Linked DNA regions of Caenorhabditis elegans. The protein of the gene in region 1 purifies or fractionates together with the protein of each later gene. This does not show direct contact. Each region holds a gene or a part of one and is shown on either strand. Other genes may lie near its edges. The genes, in order: cyp-13A12, dpm-1, F59B1.8 and ugt-62.

The links.
Region 2: the proteins of cyp-13A12 (region 1) and dpm-1 fractionate together in Caenorhabditis elegans (co-fractionation; one large-scale study listed by BioGRID). This does not show direct contact.
Region 3: the proteins of cyp-13A12 (region 1) and F59B1.8 fractionate together in Caenorhabditis elegans (co-fractionation; one large-scale study listed by BioGRID). This does not show direct contact.
Region 4: the proteins of cyp-13A12 (region 1) and ugt-62 fractionate together in Caenorhabditis elegans (co-fractionation; one large-scale study listed by BioGRID). This does not show direct contact.

Annotation. Positions count from the first base shown.
Region 1 is NC_003281.10:13,022,377-13,028,912, reverse strand, and holds cyp-13A12 (Cytochrome P450), read right to left. Parts: upstream 4,367-6,536; 5' UTR 4,282-4,366; coding exon 4,232-4,281; intron 4,176-4,231; coding exon 3,801-4,175; intron 3,090-3,800; coding exon 2,997-3,089; intron 2,948-2,996; coding exon 2,297-2,947; intron 2,239-2,296; coding exon 2,095-2,238; intron 1,224-2,094; coding exon 980-1,223; 3' UTR 896-979; downstream 1-895. Other genes in the region: F14F7.4 (uncharacterized protein), read left to right, coding at 9-187, 233-470; cyp-13A11 (Cytochrome P450), read right to left, coding at 4,964-5,207, 5,252-5,395, 5,536-6,186.
Region 2 is NC_003282.8:443,568-449,450, reverse strand, and holds dpm-1 (Dolichol-phosphate mannosyltransferase subunit 1), read right to left. Parts: upstream 3,775-5,883; 5' UTR 3,769-3,774; coding exon 3,418-3,768; intron 1,814-3,417; coding exon 1,601-1,813; intron 1,361-1,600; coding exon 1,205-1,360; 3' UTR 1,002-1,204; downstream 1-1,001. Other genes in the region: mrpl-55 (39S ribosomal protein L55, mitochondrial), read right to left, coding at 4,755-4,835, 4,881-4,976, 5,051-5,178, 5,394-5,466.
Region 3 is NC_003283.11:3,640,830-3,646,014, forward strand, and holds F59B1.8 (CHK kinase-like domain-containing protein), read right to left. Parts: upstream 3,415-5,185; 5' UTR 3,409-3,414; coding exon 3,253-3,408; intron 2,715-3,252; coding exon 2,081-2,714; intron 1,663-2,080; coding exon 1,559-1,662; intron 1,507-1,558; coding exon 1,345-1,506; intron 1,287-1,344; coding exon 1,080-1,286; 3' UTR 1,029-1,079; downstream 1-1,028. Other genes in the region: F59B1.10 (CHK kinase-like domain-containing protein), read right to left, coding at 3,983-4,189, 4,237-4,398, 4,453-4,556.
Region 4 is NC_003281.10:4,536,475-4,542,773, forward strand, and holds ugt-62 (UDP-glucuronosyltransferase), read right to left. Parts: upstream 4,150-6,299; 5' UTR 4,148-4,149; coding exon 4,058-4,147; intron 3,714-4,057; coding exon 3,593-3,713; intron 3,546-3,592; coding exon 3,098-3,545; intron 2,375-3,097; coding exon 2,281-2,374; intron 2,237-2,280; coding exon 2,126-2,236; intron 2,081-2,125; coding exon 1,802-2,080; intron 1,571-1,801; coding exon 1,404-1,570; intron 1,186-1,403; coding exon 900-1,185; 3' UTR 807-899; downstream 1-806. Other genes in the region: mrps-34 (Mitochondrial Ribosomal Protein, Small), read right to left, coding at 5,065-5,241, 5,322-5,529, 5,576-5,706, 5,753-5,833, 5,883-5,972.

The DNA.
Region 1 (6,536 bases):
TTTTCCAGAAAATCGGAAAAAGCAAGTCGTCTGAAAGTGTCATCTCGGTGAAAAATAAAGTCGGCACTGCTATGCACGTTGGATTTGAATCTGAAGATGAGGACACCAGAAAGACTATTAAAAACTTGGGAAAAATGAAACGGAGAGTGGATTTTGTGACGGAAGTTGCCGATGCATTTATGATGGGGTAAGGATATTGGTAGCTTGTCCCAGGAAATATTGAAATTTTCAGACAAGAAGCTACCGGCGACGAAGAAGACGAGAGCAATTGGCAAGACGCGAGAACGTTGGATTTGCTCGTGGAGCCGGATGAGTCGACGTGTCAGGTGCAGAAATGGCTGGAAGATGGAGGCTCAATGGATTCAGATGATGTCAAGAAGCATGTGATGAAGCTAATGGCTGAGAATCAGGAAATGAGAAGACAATCATTTGCGGTGAAGCCGGTTGCTGAGAAAAACACGGAAAATTGAGATTTGGAAATAAGAGATCTACTAGTTTTGTATTTTATTCGTACGATAAAGATTTCCAGCGGCGCGCGTCATTTTGTCAGGCAAGCGTAAGCCACATTAAAGGCGGCTAGGCATTTTTGCCTACATGCCTAGGAAAAATGTTTCCATAATGAAGATTTGTAAGATTCTAAATCTATAAAAATTGTAATTTTTGAACAGAAATGTATATTTGAAATCAAGACTTTCAAGAGGCTTTCGGCAAACTGCCGACTTGCCGGATTTTCAATTCCGGCAATTTGCCGACTTGCCGGTTTGCCGATTTGCCGATTTGTCGTTTGCCGAAACAGGGTGGGCGGCAATTGCCGTTTGACAAGTAAAATTGCCGGTTTGCTGATTTGCCATTTTGAAATTTTTTTTCCCGTTTTTTCTATAAATTAAGACTGTCATGAGAACAAATAATTTATATCCAATATATTGGATTTGGATATCAATTATAAACATTTACAATATCAAAAATGACCCATAATAATTCAATTATCATCCCTCGGCGTCAAATTCAACCAGACACTTTCCGGTTGTGTAGTTCTTGAACCAATAAGCTTCAACGGAATCTGGGTCTTATTGCAAACTTCCAATGTATACTTTCTGAGAATATGTGACAAAAGAAGCTTCTCCTCCATATAGGCCAATCTCATTCCGATACACTGTCGAGGTCCCAATCCAAATGGAATATATCCTCCTTTTTGATAGAAATGCTCATCTCCTGATTCCCATCTAAAATTACTTTTTTTAAAACATTGGTACATAAGAATTAGTGAACAATTCAAGTTTATGATTATATGGTTTTTTATTTTGATTTTGCAGTTTATTTATGAAAAACAATTTTAGAGCCAATTTTATTATTAATTTTTAGAAAATGTTCTAAACATCCTCATATCGACTAGAAATTTCAGAATTTCAAGAAGTAATTTTCAGAAAGTTATAATCTTCTTTCGTGAAGCATTTTGTTGCAAAACGGAATTAGAAGATATTTGAATTTAATTTTCCCATGAATTATCTCAAAAAGTTCAAAGCTGGCCTTCGTATAGAGTTTTCCTTCAAGCCACTAAATCTTCAAAATTCAATTTTTCTTCAAAAACTACAGTAATCCTACAGTACTCCTACAATACCACTACAGTACCTCAAGTCACTATTCATTCAAACGACAAAAAGTGTGTGTTTTTTTCAAAACTACAGTAGTTCTACAGTACCCCAGCACAGGGCTGCGCGGCAATGGGCAATTTTTGCAATTGCCGAAATTGCCGAAAATTCGATTGCCGAACGGCAATTGCTGCGCACCCCTGATTCTAATATGCTCTAGCAGAGGGTAGTAGTAGTGAGTTTGAGCAAAACTGTGTTTTTTCCTGGATTTTACATTCTCTTTTCATCCAAACATTTATTCTCAAACTGCAAAATATTAATCTCTTTGAAAGACCAAAACCTTGTTTTTATTCCAGAATTACAGTAATCCTATAGTTCTCCTACAGTACCCCCAAGTCACTATTCTATCAAAAAACAAAATGTGTTTTTTTCTAAACTACAGAAATCCTATAGCATCCCCCAAGTATTGCTACGGTACCCTGGCACTATCCTAAATTAGACCTACCTTTCAGGCTTAAACTCTTCAGCATCCTCTCCCCAAATACTCTTATCCGAATGAAGTGTCCATGTGTCGCAAAGAATATTTGTGCCTTCATCGATTTCGTAATTTCCAATTTTAGTAGCTCTCATACAACATCGAGAATTTGCTCTATAAAAGTTAGTTAAATTAGTTTTTCAAACCCTAATTATTGGAATTTCAAACTTACAAAGCTCCCAGCGGATACATTCTGAGCGTCTCCTTTATAACACATTCCATATACTTCAACTTTGATAGTTGATCGAATGTAACTTCTGGATCTGCACATTCTCTATCAATTTCTTCTTGTAATTTCTTCTGAACCTTTGGGTGAGTTGCCAGGAGGAATGAAGAATATGATAGTGATAAGGCTGTTGTATCGAATCCAGCAATTAAAAATACAAAGCACTGCCCAACAATTTCCTCAGTCGTCAATTGTCTAGTGACTTTCACTCCGGCTTTTGTAAAATCCTCATTATTCTCTAATTCTACGTCATCCGATTTTGCGTCCAAAAACAAATCGATAAAATCTTGGGGCTCTCCTGGATCAATTCCAGCTTTCTCATCGGCCATTCTCAGTTTAACCCTTTGTTCCACTGCATTTGAAGTATGACGAATCACGTGTACCGCTGGATTCTTCACTATATTCGGCAATGAAAACATAACCATTCGGAGAATCGGTCCAATCCATGGAGCAAGTGATCCGGAGAGGAAAAGCCCTTTTCGTGGTTCTCCAAATACTGCCCTGACATATGGGAGCAACGGGTTTTTGAACATTTGAGAATCGGTTTGTCCCATTGCAATACGTCCAATTACGTCGAGAGTGAATTCTTGATAGAAACTGAAAATGCCCAACATTGTATAAAATCAGTTCTATTTTTGATACTTACTCCAATAAATCAATTGGTTGCCCGCCATCAGTGTGTTGCTCGATGTGTCTCAATAGTTCCACGGCGCATTCTTCGACGGTTGTTTTCAGTTTTCTGAAAATTAAAAAAAAAAACGCTGACTATAGTCTATATATAGATTAATTTTTAATGAAACACTGGCATTCCAAGCTAATGGGCTTTTTTTTTTTGAAAATTCATACATTTATTCAAAAATAGTTCAGTGGGAGTTTGGACTTTAGATACATTTATTATAGTCGAAAGCGCCCGAAAAAATATACATAATTTCAAAATTTTTCAATCATGGGTTTTGTATTAATCTCGATCATTGTTACAGGTGGAAACACCTATAATAATTAAATACAAACAATTTAAATGTATTTTTGCAGACTTTCAAAATTATGACAGTCAATAAAAAAGTATCAAAAGTTTTTTTGAAAAGTCTTACTATTTTATTTGGTCATTTTAGTACTCTACGATATTTATTTGGTAGTGAGTGTAATTCTATCTATATGTACAGATAAACGAAAAATAGTTGTTCTATGTACAAATTTATGTAATTTTGAAAAATTATACCTCAAAATCAAATCGTATCAAAGTATTAATTTAATCTGATTTTAAACGAAATATAAATTTAATCCGTCTGTTTTTCCAACTGAAATTTAAAAAATCCAAATACTAAAAAAAATATTTTTCTAAATCTTTTAGTTCATAACACATCCATTTTGGTAACTTTTTTTGAAAGTTAGGAAACTTTTAAAATTGCATTTTGTAGACTCGGGCCTAATATCAAGTATAGAAACTCACCTCAAACTATTATTAGAAAAAGTTGGGCTCGAAATAGTTCTCAGCCGCTTCCATCGATGACCTTGAGACGAGAACAAGTTGACCCTCTTGTCCTTATTCGGATCTCCTTGAATTGGATTCAGCTTTCTCCCAAAGAAATTGTCATATTGTTTCACAAACACTTCCTGCACCAAATCAGGATCCGAAATCACTAGTGTTCTTGAGAGTCCTTCAGTTATTCCATAAACCTTTCCATATTGCTTTGTCCACTCTTTCAGTTGGAGATATGGTGGATTTTCTGAGCTCAACATTTCCAAAGCGCTTCCCAGAATTGGATAGCCAGATGGTCCAGCTATTCCACGACGCTTCCAGTAACTCCATGTCCAGAGGTAAAAGCTGCAAAGTTTTTGTTTTGATTTAATTTTAAAATACAAAAAACTGCAATAACTAACCTTAAAACTCCAATAATTGAAGTTAAAATAGCAAGAAATATAATTGCCATTTCAATTTTTTTAAACTCAAAACTTGAATGGTCTACAAAACCAAATAAACTCTCTTCCTATTTATACATCTTATTGGTTTACTACCTTATCGTCATACTCCCCACAAATCACTATTTGGTCACAAAAGTTATTTGCCGGTCTGTCTAAGTCTCCAATTTCTAGTTGTCTATCAATTTTTTGGTTTGTGGGTAGAGTTTCAGTGAGACTTCTTTTCTGACTATTTGTGATCAGAATTATTAATTTTGTGATTGCTGATGCAAATTTTGGACTTCCAATCAGTAGATGAAGTCATATTTCTATAGAATTGTTGTGAGGTCCTTTACACACAATATGTCTTATCTTCAGTTTGATCTATGCGGCCTCTGTCGGTTTAGTGTGACCTACAGTCTTCCCGCTTGCTCTGTTGTGCTCTCCCTTCCTGTATTCCTTCCAGTGTTGGTTATTGTAAATGAGACGCTATTTGCTTTTTTGAAAGACGCTGGCTTTAATTTTTGAAATCGAAATTTGTTTGAGTCATTCTATCTTAAGACAAAAATTTTTGTAACCCAGTTTAAAAAAAAATTAAAAATTGGTTCTACAGACTTTTAAGAAGCATTTTATATACTAAAAAATTTGGAGGATAAAGATTTTAGAATATTTCACAAAGTATACTAAAATTAATATGTACAAAAGACCCGTAATTCAATTATCATCCCTCGGCGTCAAATTCAACCAGACACTTTCCGGTTGTGTAGTTCTTGAACCAATAAGCTTCAACGGAATCTGGGTCTTATTGCAAACTTCCAATGTATACTTTCTGAGAATATGTGACAAAAGAAGCTTCTCCTCCATATAGGCCAATCTCATTCCGATACACTGTCGAGGTCCCAATCCAAATGGAATATATCCTCCTTTTTGATAGAAATGCTCGTCTCCTGATTCCCATCTTACAAATTTTTAAATTAATAAGTAGTAGCTTCAAAGTCATACCTTTCAGGCTTAAACTCTTCAGCATCTTCTCCCCAAATACTTTTGTCATAGTGAAGTGTCCACGTGTCACATAAAATGTCGACGCCTTTTTCAATTTCATAATTTCCAATTTTAGTAGATCTCATACAACGGCGAGAATTTGCTCTGGAAATTACTAATTTTCAAGATACAAGAAAAAATAGCTTGAGCATTAAAAAAAATAGCTTGAGCATCTAAAAAAGTAGCTTGAGCATCTGAAAAAAAGCTTGAGCGCCTAAAAAAAATTATTGGAATTTAAAACTTACAAAGCTCCCAGCGGATACATTCTGAGCGTCTCCTTTATAACACATTCCATATACTTCAACTTTGATAGTTGATCGAATGTAACTTCTGGATCTGCACATTCTCTATCAATTTCTTCTTGTAATTTCTTCTGAGCTTTTGGGTGAGTTGCCAGGAGGAATGAAGAATATGATAGTGATAAGGCTGTTGTATCGAATCCAGCAATTAAAAATACAAAGCACTGTCCAACAACTTCATCTTTTGTCAATTGTCTAGTGACTTTCACTCCGGCTTTTGTAAAATCCTCATTATTCTCTAATTCCATGTCATCCGATTTTGCGTCCAAAAACAAATCAATAAAATCTTGGGGCTCCCCTGGATCAATTCCAGCTTTCTCTTCAGCCATTCTTTGCTTAATCCTTTGCTCCACCGCATTTGCAGTTTGATACATAATTTGTGCTGCTGGATTATTAAAAACATTTGTGAAATAGAATACAACTTTTCGAATCATCGGACCAATCCATGGGAATAAAATTCCAGATAGAAATAAAGCGGTCCGTGGTTTGCCAAAAACGTCTCGAGCACAAGGTAGTAATGGGTTTTTGAACATTAGTGAGTCTGGTTGTCCCATTGCTATGCGTCCAATCACGTCCATTGTGAATTCTTGGAAATATCTGAAAGTTTTAGTTAAAGGATTACAACTTTTTTTAGTTTGTTTAAAAGTGTGTCAAGAAAAATTGTGCTTTAAATGCCAGAAAATAGACGGTAATGGCCGAATATAACTGTAACAATTTTTTTAAAGTTTCTATTTTTTTAATTTTTTAATTAATCTTTTTAATGAATTTTTTTTATGAAGTTCAATTTTGCTAAAATTAAAAAAAAAAGAGCTAATTATTTTTGAACTCCCGCGCAAATTAATTACCTAATTTTGACATTTTTGTGTTTTCCTATTTTTCTTTTTCTTCAATAAATGATATAAAACGTAGATAATTTCAAAAAATAATAGAAAAGGAGATATTTATTT
Region 2 (5,883 bases), on another chromosome or scaffold:
ACAGGAGCCACATTTTCAATTTTTGAAACAAAAATTTGACAGTTATTTTATCTTAAAATGTGGGACATTATTAAATTGTGGGACATTATGTAGTTGTAAATCAATCACGATAGACGACGTTACAACCTGTTTACAACCTGTTAGCTCAAATATGATATTTGGGAAAACATATTTGAACTCTACAGTGACGTTGTTGGCATTTTACGATTATTTCTGTCTTTTCTCTTGACTATTATGTATTTCCAGATATCAGAAGTACTAGTAAATATGGACTCAGACATAAAAATTAAACAACGTTAAAATATTTATAGAAAGCAGAAATTGAGCAATAGTTGTAGATTATCTAAGTCAATGTGCGCAGAATCCGCGCGGAAAGTGCGCGGAATGTGCTCAAAGGGCTAGCGGTGTGGAAAATGGCCACACCAAAGGCAATGTGCGTGGAATGTGCGCAGAATGCATGATTTCTGGATGAAAAACACACAAAAACCAATGTGCGCAGAATGTGCGCGGAAGGTGCGCGGAATGTGCGCATACGTCTACCGAGACAGTCACTGTTCTTGGTGAACGGCCAGAGTCACTATATTTGGGCCGTTCACCAAATATAGTGACTCTGGCCGTTCACCAAAAATAGTGACTCAGAAATGCACAGAAATGTGCAACAGAGTACGGCAGTGTGCGGCACACACACCCACTTTTTTTTCTGGAGTTTGCCGCTCATCGCCAGCTTTCCAGGGCACAATTCACAGCTCGGGGGTAGTCGTTGAAAGACGTTGAAAGCGCCCTGGAAAACTGGACCGATTTGCCGAGATATTGGTACAAAAATATAACATTTTTAACTCCCAACACTGGATAATCTGAAAATTTTAATCTCTTTTTGAAAATTGGATACATATTTCTTCTATTTTTCGGCATTTGCCGAGCTTTAATTATTCGGCAACTTGACACTTAGCCAACCAGAACATTTGTGCACAAATTGTTTCCAATTTTGTTGGCATCTTAAAAAATATTATAACGATTTATTCGAAGAAAAAATATAATTTAAACAAGAATGTTTGGAAACAATATAAATAGGAATCCCCAAGGTCATAATAAAAAAATTTGGAAAACGTACAATGAAGCGCTCTGGCTATAAAACTCTCAGAAATTTTAATTCTTAAAATTTAAATTAAAAATAGTAAAATGAATACAAATTATATCACAGAATCTACCAAACAAATGCAAACAGATAGAGAAGTCCTTTTGCGTAATCCACGATTTCCTGACTTCCGAGCTTTGATTCTCCAAAGAATCGATCGACGAATGAGATTGGTACCTCCCCAATACGATAACCCGATTTTTTCGCTCGAAACATCATTTCCATCTGCAATTCGGATTTTAAAAACATTAAAAAATCTTTTTCACAGTATTTTGTTATTAAAAAATCTTCTTTATATATATTTAACTTTGAATTTTCGAAGAGCCTCAGAATAAGCTTAAGTTTTGATTGCATTTCTGTTTCTTGATCAATAAAAACCTTTTTTCATTGGCTCCGGTTTTTGGTAAATGGTGTGCACGAGTTGCAGAAATATCTTTATTTTTCAAAATTTAAACCTATATTCACCTGAAAAACGTATCCTTTGCTTACACTTTCAGCAATCAACTTCGACAGAATATCTCTCTTATAAAGACGAAATGATCCTGTTAAATCAGATACACCTGGATTCAGCAGAAACTGAGCCAAAAAATTGGCTCCCTTGCTGATCGTCTTCCTCTTCAAATCCCATCCACTAACACCACCTCCGTCCTTGTAGCGTGTTCCTGTCACGATGTCGAGCTGAAAAATAAATAAAAAAATTGTATTTTTATGCTTAAAAAAGGCATTGTGTTGATATAAATGTGATGGTTTTTTAAATGTAATATTATGTCCTCTATTATCGGAAACTTGATATTAGGTGAGACATTATTTTCGGCAAACGCACAAAACTGGCGCATTTCAACATGATAATCAGGGGTGTGCGGATAACCGACTTTTTCGGCTAACAGATAGATCGGCTAATGCCGACTTTTTTGAAGCCGGCTAACGGCTATTCACTACAACTTTTTTCGAACGAGGGACGAGGCAAAAAGGTTTCTAGGCCATGGCCGAGTCCCCGACAAGTTTCAGCGGCCATTTATGTTGCTTTGTTTTCCGCGTGTTTTCTTTCGTTTTTCACCAATTTTCCCCATTTTTTCTTATTAATACTAATAAATAAATATTTTTTGCAGATGCTAAAACAATTTCCAAGTGAAAAAATTGTGTATTGAGTCTGTAAGTAACGGTGAAAGTGGTCAATGTAATATGATGGATTACGGGAACACAAAACCCAAACTTTTTCCCACACATGATACATATGCTGCTCTGATGCTGAAACTACCTGATTTTCATAACGAGACCACTGAAAAAGTTTTGAGGCTTTCAAAATTCAACTTTTTTGGTGAAAAAGTAGAGATTTTCGCACAAAAAGTTGAATTTTGAAAACCTCAAAACTTTTTCAGCGGTCTCGTTATGAAAATCAGGTAGTTTCAGCATCAGAGCAGCATATGTATCATGTTTGGGAAAAAGTTTGGGTTTTGTATTCCCGTAATCCATCATATTACATTGACGACTTTCACCGCTACTTGCCGACTGAATACATATTTTTTCATCTGGAAATTATTTTAGCATTAGCAAAAAAATTTATTTATCAGTTTTGATAAGAAAACACGGGAAAAATTGGTGAAAAACAAGAGAAAACAAAGCAAGTACAAAATGTCGTAAAATGCGGTGTTTTGTGTGCAAACACCGATTTTTCGCATTTTTTCTCGGCCCTCGTTCGAAAAAAGTTGCGGTGATGTTCACTATTTTTTAGCAAATTCAGTGATGAACGACTGTTCAAATAGAAAAAATCATATAAAACCCCAACATTTTTTCCAAAAAAAAATGTGTTAGTGAAATTAGCAGACCGGGAAATTGGGCTAAGATCGGCCAACATCGGCTACCGGATAACTTAAAGTTTAAATTAGCTAAACTGGCAGAAATTCGGCTGATAGTGAATCGGATATTATCAGCACACCCCTGATCCAACTGTGCCTGAAAGTTACAGTTTGCCGAAAAAACTTTTAACGGCACCTTTTCGTCAAACGACAATTTTCAGGTACTATTTGAGGACTTTTTTCAATTTTTTAACAGAAATATATGTTATTTTCAGATAGAACATGCTGTGTTCTACATTTCTATATAAATTTTAAATGCTTAACGTTGCATAATAAGTTCTTGCCATATTTTTCTCAAATTGGAAAACTTTCATCAAATTAACTATTATTTAACTAAAATAACATTTGTACACCTATAAATTTTGAAATTTAAAAAAGTTCTGTTTTTTTAACAATTTTTAGAAAAAATGTACGAATAATGTATACCTTATACTTATGTTGAAGCGCAATCATTTCCGGAATGAATTTTGGATGATGAGAAAGATCTGCGTCCATAAGAATGATAAATTCTCCACGTGCAAACGATAATCCATGTGAATAGGCTGTACCAAGTCCAAGTTTTCCAACTCGTGGCTTGATCAGAATCTTATCGTCTCCGTACTCCTTTTGAAGAAGTTTTGCAATGCCTTGAGTACCGTCTGGTGATGCATCGTCAACGATAATCACTTCATGTGAAACTTCTTTCAGATAATTTTCAATTAACCAAATGCAAATCGGCAAATTTTCTTTTTCGTTGTAGGTTGGCAGAATTATCGAATATTTCGGAGTGGATGTCATAATAATCTGAAACATAAAATTCCTTTTGAATAATCTGACTAGGGATCCCTGTAAAAACTTGGTGAATAAGAGAAACAAAAAGTATACCAATCGGAAGCTTGTGTTAAATACTGGCTACTCGAAATCAAAACAAAATTAATCGGTCTCAAAGTCTTAAAAACACTAGTGTCACTGAAAATTAAAGTTGGAGTACCGAAATCTAAGACTTTGCTTTTTAGAACCAAATGATTCAAAACTACCGAATTTCGTAATGAGAAGTTTTGAAATTTTCTCAAAAAAAAGTTATGGGTCAAAGTTTTAGAAAAAGCTCATTTTCAGCTAAAATCACATTTTTCCACCTTCTCGGTGTGACACCGTCTGGAACTAAATTTTTATTCAATTATCAATCTTTAATAAATATTATGGTCCTTTACTACGCGCTTATTCTTTGATTAAAGTACATTTTCGGTCAGTGGGTCACAAAAATGTACCTTTTATTGGTCCCCCCAATCGATTTTTTCACAGAAAAAAAATGATAAATTTCACTGTTTTTGAGCCAGAAATACGATTTTTTGAGTAAAAAACGTTGAAATTAAGAGTTTTCAGTGAAACTTCACGCTTCTTATCGCATTTTTCCATTTTTGAAGTCAAATTCGTTCTGAGATCGGGTTTTTTACCCGAAAATTCGCGTTTTTCTCGGAAAATGGCTGAAAATTCGGCGTTTATCGCTGAAAAATGAGGTTTTTAGAGGTTTTTAGCATATTAGTATTTTCAAGCTAATTTCGACCGGAAACTCGATTTTCCTCCACAAACTTCTTGGTTTCCTATCCACCAAGCTGTTACGGGGTTCCCTAGTGAAATAGAGATAATTGATATAAAATTGCGACTAAACGCACAAATCAATATTAATCAGATCGAGAATAAAGTCGATATTCATAGTAAATATAACGAAAACAAAAAATCTAACAAAAAAAAAGAAATACTACATGCTAATAACGAGATTTTTCTTATTTTTTCGTGGATTTCTGCCCGGGTGCCGACCAAAACTTCATATACTCCGACTCATCGAAGGTGTCATCGATAACTTCCTGAAAAAACCATTTTTAATTTGAAATCGTTAATTATATAATTACTGTTTTTGTGATCTTGGCTTTTGGTTTACGAGCAGCCAGCCGTTGTCGTCGTTCATCCTCGCTCAACTGTTTGAGGTCGACGGCAGATTGGAATGTCTGAAAATATGTACAATTAAAAAACTGATTAAATATAAAAACTGCAATTAAATATGTATTTTTCAAAAAGCAACCTGTCTCGGTTCAGCGGCGGGAACCATGATTGTCGAACCATCCGGACGGATAAATTTAACTTGGTACCGATGCAAGTAGTCTCGACGGCTGATTTTTCCCAAACTTGCTCTCCACGCATTATTTCTCTCTGAAAATGTGAAATTCACGCGGGAATAGTGATTTTGATTTAGGGAGAGGAAGGGGGAAATGGTTTATAAAAAGTCTGATTTTGAGGAGAAATGAATGGAAATAATAGTAATTGCAATTTTCACATGAAAAATGTTGTACGAAAAATGTTCTGCCACGTTTTTTTTTTGAAAATAACCTTCAAATGATATTTTTCGACCTTTTTCCTTTACTAACCTGCTGTGATGGCTTTTGAGCAGCTTGTTAGCAAGTTTCGCATGGAAATTTGAGTGTTCATCTGCAAAAACATTTAGAAATTCAAGAAAAATCACAGGAATACACTGAAAAATCAATAAGTTTTAATAAAGACGTGTATTTTTGACTTATTCGAGAGGAGTGCACAAACAAATTCTCAGCGGAGCGCGTTTGCGGCGCTCACTTTTCGTGTCACTTACGCGGCAAATGCAAATAAAATTAAAATAAGAAATGAGAAAAATGCGAGAAATTATTGAAAAAGATAAAGGAACTGATTCGAAACGGTAAACAAACTTTATAGTATATATAAAGTTTATACACGGCCTCCTGCGGGTGAAACGCGCAAGCAAGTCGCTCTCGTCATCTTTCACCTCTCACTTGCGCACGCTCTTTCGCTCAAAACGTGAAAAGCGGCGAAAAACGGAAGATTTTGAACAAAGCTTCAAATTCTTGCTAATTTACGTTTGAAAAA
Region 3 (5,185 bases), on another chromosome or scaffold:
TAGAAAAAGAAAAATAGAAGCCTAAAAATCAATTACCACGAATTATTTCCTGAATTTACCAAATATATAATAATAGTTATTTTTTTTAATTTAAAATACTTATTTATTGAATTATTACAACACATTGTTCAGAATAGCATAGCAGTAATTCACTAAAAAATATAAATATTTTCAAAAATCCAAAGTAATCGGAAATGAGCATCGTTAGGGACTGGCAAGTTGTTGTGCACAACTTGTTTTTGCATTTCTTGTCAAATGATGTTCCAGACATATGTTCTCTATTCACAGAAAAAAATGAATAAAGTAATTTTTGATTTTTTGGCGAATAGCCATATTTTCCATAATTTCGCTAGTTAGAAAATTTCTTTAAATAGAACACCTTCTTTTTTAGGAAAATAAATTTTAGATTATTTCTCTAAATTTAAAAAATTTAAAAAAAATTGGCTCCAAGGAAATTTTTTATGCCAATTCCGCTAATATTCAACGTCGTTTCCGGCCTTTTTATAAATTTTCATCCAGTTTCCGAATTTGACCAAATTTTTCAGGCAAATGCATTTTTAAATGTTTATAGTTTCATTGTTAGGTTTAATAATATTGAAGATTTTGTTCTTAATTTATATTTTTCCGATTTTCAGAAAATTCTGGCTTGCCTAAGCCTAAGCCTGAGCCTGAGCCTAAACCTAAGTCTGAGCCTGAGCATAAGCCCAAGCCTAGGCCTAAGCCAAGTTAGCCTAAATTACGCTTTTATCTAATTCCAGAAAATTGACAAATGCATAGAATTCCTCAAGTTACATGAATCAATTTATTTTCCAACCAGCCGTGGACCGCACCTCCAGCGCGGCCCCCGACTTCTGGAGCTGAAAACCAATTTTTCTGAAACTACCGTAATCATACAGTACTCCTACCGTACCACCATTGTACCACTACAGTACCCCGACTATATCCCTACACTAACCCCAACTCACTATCCCTCCAGAAGCTAAAACTTCGCAGAATACAAAGACTACATAGACTACAAACTATGGACAAACGGAATAAGCGCTTTATATATAGTAAATGACTATATCAAGCAAAAATTTTTAATTTTTTCCAGTGAACTTCTTGTTGAAATCATGAAAATTGAGCACATCATCCAACAGACAATCCACTTTTTCGATGACAATCCGTCTGTAATTTTCAGCTTTTCCAGACTCCATTCCCTGCAATTTCATGTCAACAGCCGGCCCGAACAAGGAGATCAGTGTCAATGCTCCAACTGGGAAATACAGTTTGAAAGAGGTCTTGAGCTGAAAAATTTTCAGTTTTAGAATTTTTAATTTCCAAAAAAATGGTTCAAAAAATTACCTGTTCAAGAGTGTATGGAGCATTGTTGGAGCCTATCTCGTCCGTGAAATAAGTGTAAAATTGCTCCAAAATGTGCTCCCAGTGAGATTGACGGTCGGCTCCGGAAATAGTTGAGACGAGGAGACGCACCAAATCTTCAGCTGGATTTCCCATGTGAGATTCCTAAAAAATTCATTTTTTTGAACATTTTCGACATTAAATCAATTTTTTCTACCTGATAATCCAAAACTTTGTCGGCAATAAAACCTCCATCCGTCTGGGTCCACAAAATATTGGCAGCCCATAAATCTCCATGGCAGATAACTTTTTGGTCGATTCCTGAAAATATAAAGTTAGACCTCTGAAACATAACAAAAAAGAACTACAATGTAAAAACTACAAACTACAAACTACAGACCACAAACTACAAACTACAACTTGCAACCTACAAAAAAATACCACGGAGGGTGATAGCGGGTAATTTATTTTTCAACTTTTGGCGAGATCCTTTATTGTGGCAAGATCCAATTTTCGCCGCGAGAAACTATTTTCAACATGGGATATATTTTCGTTGCGAGACCTTTTTCTTTCAAAATCTTTAGAAATGTACATAAATAAGAGGAGAAAATTTGATCACAAGTTGCAGTGTTTGTAAAAAAATTATGGTTTTCAAAAAAGAAAATCGAAATGTTTTTTTAACATTTTCAAAGCTACGGTAAAAATTACATTTGGAAATTTTTTAAAAATTCACTCTTACCTACAACTTTATTCAAATTGAGAACAGTCTCCAAATTCAGAATCTCCTTGTGGTTCTGCTCAATCCGTTCAACTTTTTCACTCAATTTCTGGTCAATATTCCGGCTTTGATCGAAAATCCCTTTCAGGCCATCTTCGGACAACATATCCATTAAACTCTCTTCAAAGGCTTCTCCATTATCTAAATTTCTGCAGCTTTCGGTGCTCAAACTCAACGCCTGGAGCCTTGCAAGAGCCTTCAAAATTGGCTGGAGCTCATCTACAGTAACATTTTCATAACAGTGCCGGACGACTGAACCTTCAACGAACTCCATTCCAACAAATCCCTTATTCGGGTTGTCCTCCTCGAATTTCTGCGAGAAGAATACTTTGGGAAGGAGAAGCCCCTCCAAATGTCCGAAAGCTTCGCAGAACTCTACTTCCAAGTTATGCCCTTTTTGACAGGACTTCTCGAAATGTGCATGCACATGGGCTTCTTCTTCCGGCGACATTACTGAATTCCCTTCTTCATTGGACTTATTCAGAAGGCCCTGCACATGAACGAATGAAACGATTTTCAGAATTAGCTTCTTGGGAAGATGGGACGAGGGAATGGTCCAGTGACAGGTGATTAGGATCACGCAAGAGGAGAAGCCCTGAAAAATGGGAAGCTTGATTTTTTTACTGCTTATCTCTCATTATCTCCCCAAATAAAAACTAGCTAGAGCACAAAAACACTGCGCAAAAGTCGCTGACCAATCAGTGATAAGCAAAGGGCGTGGCTTATATCACTGATTGGTTGGCGCTATTTGCGTTCAATTTTAAAATTTTTATAACAAGAAGGTACATATTTTTCATATTGGGTCGCAAACTGATTTTTTTTTTGAAAACTTGCTGTCGTCCAAAGATTTTTTTATTTCTTTTCCAAATATTCCGAAAAACATCTTAACATTTTGGTTTATTTTCGTCTTTAACAAAAAAAAATTTAAAAAAGCAAAAGCTGATTAAAAATTAAATTTTATGGTTTATGGTAATTTTTTGAAACTTTTTGTTTTCAATTTTTTTTATTTTCCGGAAAATCGAAAAATTGAAAACTATAATATTTCTATTTTACAAATTCATATAAAAATCCAGTTTTCAAGTTGAAAAAAAAAACATGTTTTTTTGTTTAAAAAAATTGAATAAAAAACTTACATTACCCTCCCCAATAACCTCCATTTTGCTCTCCGCCGTGAGCTCACTTTCAGTGCTCATTTGCTCTTTGATAGCTTTATTCACATCTTCTAAAGTCACATGGGTATTGAATAATCCAGTACCTGGCTGCAAAATTGACAATGGTTTTGTAGACATTTTTAGCTGAAAATTATTTTAATAGATTTTTAAAAATAAAAACTTTTATTAAGCTATAATAAAAAGACAAACTTAAAAAATTCTTGGAAATAAATTGTGTAAGAAATCAATGGAAATAACACATTTGACAGGACAAAAACGGAAACACTTGAATTCAAAAAAAAAACGAACGCACTATTTATATAACCGCCACACTTTGTGACCCCATTGTGTAGTCACTGTGTTTTGTGACACCCTCTCTCTTTCCCTCCCGCCTTGTGTGTGTGAGTGACGTCATTTTAACGAGACGGCGGGTGGAAAATGTGTGATTGATAGTTTGATCTACAAACTGTTGTGCAATAAATGAACGCTATAAAATACGTTTTCTATACATTTCAAAATTAAAAAAAAATGGAACCAATTTTTAAAAAAATCTGGTATTGTAAAAACAAAAGGCAAATTGGGCAATTTTTTTCGAAAATGAATTAAATTTTTTTAATTGAATAAAACAAGAAGAAAACAATAAATAAATTATTTATTTCACAGATTTTATTTGCAGTTCGCAACAAAATATTTTCGAAAAAAATAGACGAAACTATTTTTCTTGAAAATATCTTTTGGAAAATTTATGGTACTTTTCCAGGTCATCCAGTAGACATGCAACTTTTTCAATAACTACGTGACGACATTTTTCAGCTTTTTCAGAATCCATCCCCTCCAATTTCGCGTCCACAGCCGGCCCAAACAATGGAAGAAGAGCCAATGCTCCAACTGGAAAATAGAGCTTGAAAGAGAGCTTCAGCTGAAAAAAATTTATTTTCAATAAAAAAATTGCTCTCAAAAACTAACCTGCTCCAAAGTGTACGGAGCTTCACCCGAGCCAAGTTCATTCAAAAAATACGAATAAAATTGCTCCAAAATCTGCTGCCAATGGGCTTGACGATCGGCTCCGGTAATTGTTGAGACCAGGAGACGCACCAGGTCTTCTGCTGGATTTCCTAGATGGGACATCTGAAAATGTGCAGGTTTTAGTGGAAAATATTTATAGTTGTCAAATAAATATACCTGATAGTCCACAATTCTGGTGGCACAGAAAACTCCATTATTTTCGGTCCACAGAAAGTTGGCAGCCCATAAATCTCCGTGACACAACACGTTTTGTTTAATTCCTGGAAAATATCACGCTTGATCTTTGAAACACTACAAACTACAAACTACAAAAACTACAAACTACAAAAACTACAAACTACAAAAACTACAAACTACAAACTAAAAACTAAAAACTGCATACTACTTCATGTTTCACACATGCGCATATTAACTCTGATATCGAAAATTGCTTCAACAGAAATGATTCGAAATTATTAATACACTCGATACCGACTACAACCTACAAACTGCAAACTACAAACTACAAACTACAAACTACAGGCTACAAGCTGTTCAATGTTTTACAAATCACATATTAACTCTGATATCGAAAATCGCTGTAACAGAAACGATTTGAAATCATAAAAAACACTCGGCACCAAATACTATCTACAAACTGCAAACTACAAACTACAAACTACAAACTACAAACTACAAACTAAAATCTACAAGCTACAAACTACAAACTACAAGCTACTCCATGTTTCATACATAGCATATTAACTCTGATATCGGAAATCGCTGTAACAGAAACGATTTGAAATTATAAAAAACACTCGGCACGGATTACTATCTACAAACTGCAAACAACTACAAACTACAAACTACAAACTACAAACTACAAACTACAAACTACAAACTACAAACT
Region 4 (6,299 bases), 8.5 Mb from region 1:
GAACTTCGAACGAGAGAAACCTCCAGCTATTCCTGCTCATGCGACTCCGCTCGAATCTGTACTCAAATTGGGTAGCTCTTCAAGTGGAGAAGAGGCTCCACGAAATGCATTATACGACGATCCGATCTCATTAGATTCACAGACTTTTGATGATATAGACGAAGAAGTCAACATTCACATCTCTTAATAACCTTCAGTATTTCTTTAATTCACAATTTCTCAAAATCAAGGTGCTTTTTTCCCTTTCTCTTCCCATAATTCTTTCATTCATTTTCTCCCCCGTGTTATTACCGATATGTATTAAGTTTCTCCAAAAACCTCACAAAACCTTTGCAACAACCAAAACCTCAATTTGTTCACTTTATTGCTGGAAAATCCACCCGATTTTATGGGTCAACTTGTTACGTGTATCTACAACCCTTCACGACTCAAACATTTGTTCACATAGCTTTGTATTTCAAACATTTTTTCTATTCGTGTCTTTTTCTGCTGTTCATAATAAATTATTCAATAATAATTCACTGTGTTAAAGTTTTTTAGCAGAACTTAGTAAATTGGTATAAAAATCTGGATTTTTAGTTTTGAAGAAAATATCAATAATTTCACACAAGTTTTCATATTTTTCTAAACAAAACATGGAAATTCGAAACTTAATTTTCACAGCGAACTGAAATATTATTAGCACAGTTTAACTTAAAAGGTACAGTAACCACACGAGTCTCAAGCCTGGCTTCGCCCGCAACCCATCTCTCCTCATTTAGCCAGCCTACCTCTGTATGCATAGCAAATTAAAATCAAAAATTGTTTTTTTAATCATTTATTCAACCCGAAAGATTATAAAATAAAATTAAAAAAAACAAAAAAAACAAATTAAAATAATTTATAAAATCTCCAAAAACCTAATCCTTTTTAGTTTTTGTTTCACACTTTTTACAGAAACAACACCTGATTACAGCTCTCATGAAACGGTATCCAATATAAAATACAATGAAAATAACAATGAAAAGGAATGTAATTACATCAAGTGAATGATATTGGAAGAAGTTAAGCTTTTGACCAGCTGGCTCCAAATTATCAAGAGTTTTGAATTCGGCAAGGAATTCTGACCATTTTAGAAGTCGTTCAGCTGGTTTCATTGGTTGAGCACGAACCATTGCAGATAGTCGACTCACTTTTTGTTTGTAACTGCAAAATTTTTCAAGTTTTGATAGTAAAAAAAGTTCTTTTTCGATTACGACTCATACTAACGCGAAAAAAATTGAATTAACTGAGCAGCGGCCCAAAACATTCAATTTGTCACAACTTTGCTCAACCATGGCTATTCTGACAAAACATGGTTCCCGACATTCCCGAGCTAGATACAATTTCAACAGTTAGAAATGTTGTGTAATAAAATAACAAACCTGTCATTCTCCACAATTTCCATAATTGCTTTTACAATCGTTTTCTTTGAAATTTCGCCTTTTTGAATGTTTACAGCAAATCCATGTTTTTTTGCAACTTTGGAATTTTTGGGTTGATCACCAAATAGTGCAATAGTGACCAGTGGAACTCCAGCAGAAATTGCCTCCTGGAACAATGGATTCTTATTTTTATGGAAATTTGAAAGTTGCATTTAGAAACCGAGTAACTTTGCCCTATCTAAAGTTTTGAACCATTTAGGCTCTACCGAGAAAAAATATCAGAAAAATTCTCAAAAATGCTTTTCAGTTCAAAAAAAAGTGATTTTCAATCAAATATCAAATAGCTAAATTCTCTCCACTCTAACTTCAACGTTTCTCAAATAATATAAAATGAATACCTGCATAGAATTATAACCTCCGTGAGTAATGAATGCTTTAGTCTTATTATGCAACAATAGATCTTTCTGTGGAAGCCATTTGAATAAATGAACATTCTTTGGCAATCTATCATTCAAATCATCAGCCACATATCTCATTAAAAATTGATAATCTGGAAGTGAGGAGAATGCTTCGAGAATTGAATTCTTCCATTCTAATGGCATATCATGAGCTGCTGCAACGGATCCAAATGAGAATACAATCATTCCTTTTCCGGTCTCCGAGATTTTTTTGAACTCCTGAAATAAAATAGTTTCAGGTACATTCCAATAACTACAACTAACCCCAGTCAATGGTTTGGCACTGTCAAATCCAACTCCTAATCCTCCAATATTCACGACCTTTGCCAATGTCGGACGAGGAAGATCGTAAAGTTCGTTGCTATTAACAATTACCTGAACGTTTTTGTGATTAAAAAATAGATTAACTAAAAACTCACCAATGGACATTTTGCTCCAAGATCCATTGTATGTGGGAAGTTTGGATCATTCAGTTCATCACGGAAAATTTGAGTTTCTCCGTTTGAGGTCATTCTGAAAATACAAAAACTTGAAGTTTTAGGAATATCGTAGGAATGCAGAATGAATTTTTTTTTAATTATCAAAAACAAGCCTTTAAAAAAAGTTAATGACAATTTAAAAATAAGGAATTTTCTAAAATCTACTCAAAAAGTAGGGTTTTGAAATTTATGACGTATAATAACTATCTAAAACTCCCCAATTTCAAGTTCCCATATTTTTTATTTATTTACCGGAGCACGCGCAAAACGCGTGCTCCGACTGGCGCACGCTAAATTGTTTTAATACATTTTAAAGTGCTAATGTAGGTAACATTTTTCTACAGTTACACATTTTCCTGGAGTTTTGCGGACTTTCAAGAGAATTCTAAGACTTGGAAATTCTTTTAAAAATTCTAGACCTTTCCAGATCTTTTTTAGCAAATTCTAGCACTTTCCAGATTTTTTCACATTTTATGAGCTTTCTGAATTTAATTACAAAATTTTTCTAGGTACCAGAAGTTTCCAGTTTAATCAAAAAAAACTGACCTACAGGCATATAAATGACCACATTTTTTTATTAGGTTATTTATTTAATTTTCATAACTTTAAACATTAATATCTGCCTTAAATGAAATTTTTTGAAAATGTTTCTTCGGGGACTTGTTTCAAATTTCAAGAGCTCTCATTATCTGTATTTTTAAAACTATATTTCGAACTGTATTTTTTGTATATAAGTAATGATTTTCTTCGAACTAACCTTCTGTGCAAAACTGTCATCAATGTATGTCCGATAAAACTTTTCATTCTGAAGAAGAAGCCCATTTCATCATCGGACTCCATCATTAATGGAGGTACATAACTTGGAATAATTGGTACACCGACTGTTTCAGCCACAAAATCCATCAGTGCTCCACTGTTCAACCATACCCAAGATGGAATCTTTGCAGCATGGATTAGTCCAATTGGACATGAAGAATAGATATATGAGTAGGCCACATCAAACTTTTCATTTTCCAGCCATTTCATAAACTCCTTGTTTCGCACAATATTCCTACATCCATCTTGGAACATTTTTCCGAATCTACTGAACATTGACATCATAGCTGGCATATCCTTCAGTCCGGTATCTTTGAAAATAAATGCAGATTGCTCTTTTTCAAGGAGAGCTTTGGTAAGTCCCTCGACATATGCCTCCACACGATGGACTAAAAATTAAAAAGCTTAAAAGAAATTTAGAATTCAAAAAGCGAACCCTTTATATTCTTCGGAATCTTCACATCAGTTTTGTAATCTGGCAAATGAGAAAGATGAATCATTGTGACGTCATGTCCTCCATTGGCAAGAACTTCGGCCACACGAGTACAGAATTGGACCTGAAATGCAATAATTTAGAAAGTTTATTAAAATTATACGAACGTTTTAACTGTTTTGTTTTAAATTTCAGTCAGTAGCACATTTTCTCCATTTTAAACTGTTTAATATGGAGAAGCATCGAACTTTTTTGGTAACTATCATTATAGTTATATATAACCAAATATGAATGTGAAAAGTTTGATCGTTTTTTTTGGTTTTATGTCTGTGACGATTTCAATCAAAGGGAAAAGAAAATTTTTCCAATTTATGTACCAAAGAACTTTGACTACTATAAATTTGACCTAGACTTAACAAATGCTCCACATAGTATGAAATATTTCTCGATTAAAGTTTCTCAGCTCACCTGACTATTAGCCATATATGGTACAAAAACCGCATATTTGTACGCGGAAACTGCTCCAAGCAGTAGAAGAAAAAGAGCAATCAATTTCATTTCTGAAACAGAAATTGAGAAAACTTTGTCCATACATCGTTGTTTAAATACTCTTTTATTTGCATCATTTCTGATAGTCAATCACAAACCCAAGTTTCCTAGAGACAACTAGACTAAAAAAGAGAGCCGTAGAGAATTATAGACAATGCTAATTTATAAATCAGAAATGTGGTTTGTAGGAAGTTATGGTTTGGTGCTTTTCTGAAAAAAAAGTACTGATTCTAAATAGGCTCTTATCTTATCACAATCTGTTTTACATCATTGTGTTGTTTGTGCATCCAAAACGTAAAAATTATTGTGAAATATCATCTTAAATATTTAGTGGAGTGTAATAATCAAATAATCTTGAATAAAGTTGCGCAGGAAATCTGATGCATTGTGTTACGGTGGGTGCACAAATTTTCCAAATGCACCGAATTCCACGCGCAATTTCAATTTTTAAAGTTAAAGCCACCAAAAAACATAGTTGTACCATTAGATTTCTGGACTGACTATGAGTATTCATTTTTCACAACTCTCTTTTTCACAACGTCAGTAATATTTTCCCTCCGCTGTTGCAACTTATTTAGTCACAGTAAGTACTGTATTCAAACCTGAGTTTATTTACGCAAATTCGCCACTGATGTTTGGTTCGTTTCTGTTAATGATTCAACTTGTTCAACTCATACTGTTATAACGAATGCGTTCTCTTTAAGTTGTGATCTATATTTTATACATTTTTGTATTTTTGAATTAATCATTAACATTTTTTTTAACTATCACAAATTTCACTTCACTGTAGTCTTGGAACAATGTGACTTGGTTCATGATAGTTTAATTTTAAAACTCTAACGAAACAGAACAAAAAGAAAACAAAGTCTAAAAACAACTGCTACAATCGAAAACTTAAATTTAAAAAAAATTAAATTGAAAGAGAATCATTTCGGTGGTTGCTCTTCAACTCTCATCGTTGTGGCATTAAATCGTGGTTGGAACATTGCTGGTCCTGCATTCCAAGCTTCAACTTTAACTGGCAATTCGTTTCCGTAAAGATCCAAAAGTGCATTCTTATCAACTTCCTCGTAGATCGACACGCTTTTTGTTGAAGGAGCTTCCTGAAATGGTTGAAAATTGAAAAATAAAATTTTGTGAGTTTCGGAGTTTTTTATTTCAGCATATACATAGTTAATCCCACCTGTTTGATGAACGGCTTCAAGTGCTGGAACTCTGGATCGACACTAAGTGTGAGCGGAGCCCGTCTTGACACAGTTTTCTCATCCAAACCATTTTTGCGAGCACTTTTCTGTGACAAATGAACTTGAAGTGGTGGCAATGGAAACGAATCGGGAAGAACAAGATCTTGCATTGGTGTTGTGCTCGATGTATATGATTTTTCTTGATGTCTGAAAATAAACGAAAATTTCGAATCCTCAATTAAGAATTGCTTACTTGTGTACCAGCTGCCAGTCACTTCTGTTCAAATCCTTTGAAAACTCATAAACGCCAAGATTTTTTCCACGAAAGACCCATTCAGCATAAACTTTTCCTTCGAATAACCATCGGTCCATGCCTGGCTCTGCCTGAAAAGTTTCAGTGATCTTTGTTCATGCTAAAAATCAAGAATGCCCTCAAAATCTTCATATATGACGGATTATTCGGCCATTTCCGTGTCCATTCATTCTTTGTAACAAGACGACCGACACCAAACTGAAAAAAAAACAATTGAATCAAGGGGGAAAACAGCAGAATAACATACGTTGCGGAGTTGTGAGAGAATCTCGAACAAAAACTTTCCTTCCGATGCAATATCATGATTTCCAACAAATCTGATTAAGTTTGAAGACATTTTTATCTGAAACTTTTAAAATTGACTGTGAATCTTGAAGAAAAGGAAAAAATTAGAGAAACAAATTAAATGCTCGAAGAGAAGAAAAAGAATAGAAAAAATGCGCGGCGTGCTTGCAATGAGGCGCAGTGCAGCCGTTTTAGCCCCGCCCCTTGAAATATTCTTCCTTTTATTTATTCAGATTTTCAACTTTAAAATTATTTTAAGCATGTGTTTAGATGTTTTAATTTCATTTTCCCAAACTAAATAAAACTTTAGACAGTTTTTTCATGTAATTAATGACAAAAATGCCACAATTTTCGGTGCAAAACAGTTTTAAAGAAAATG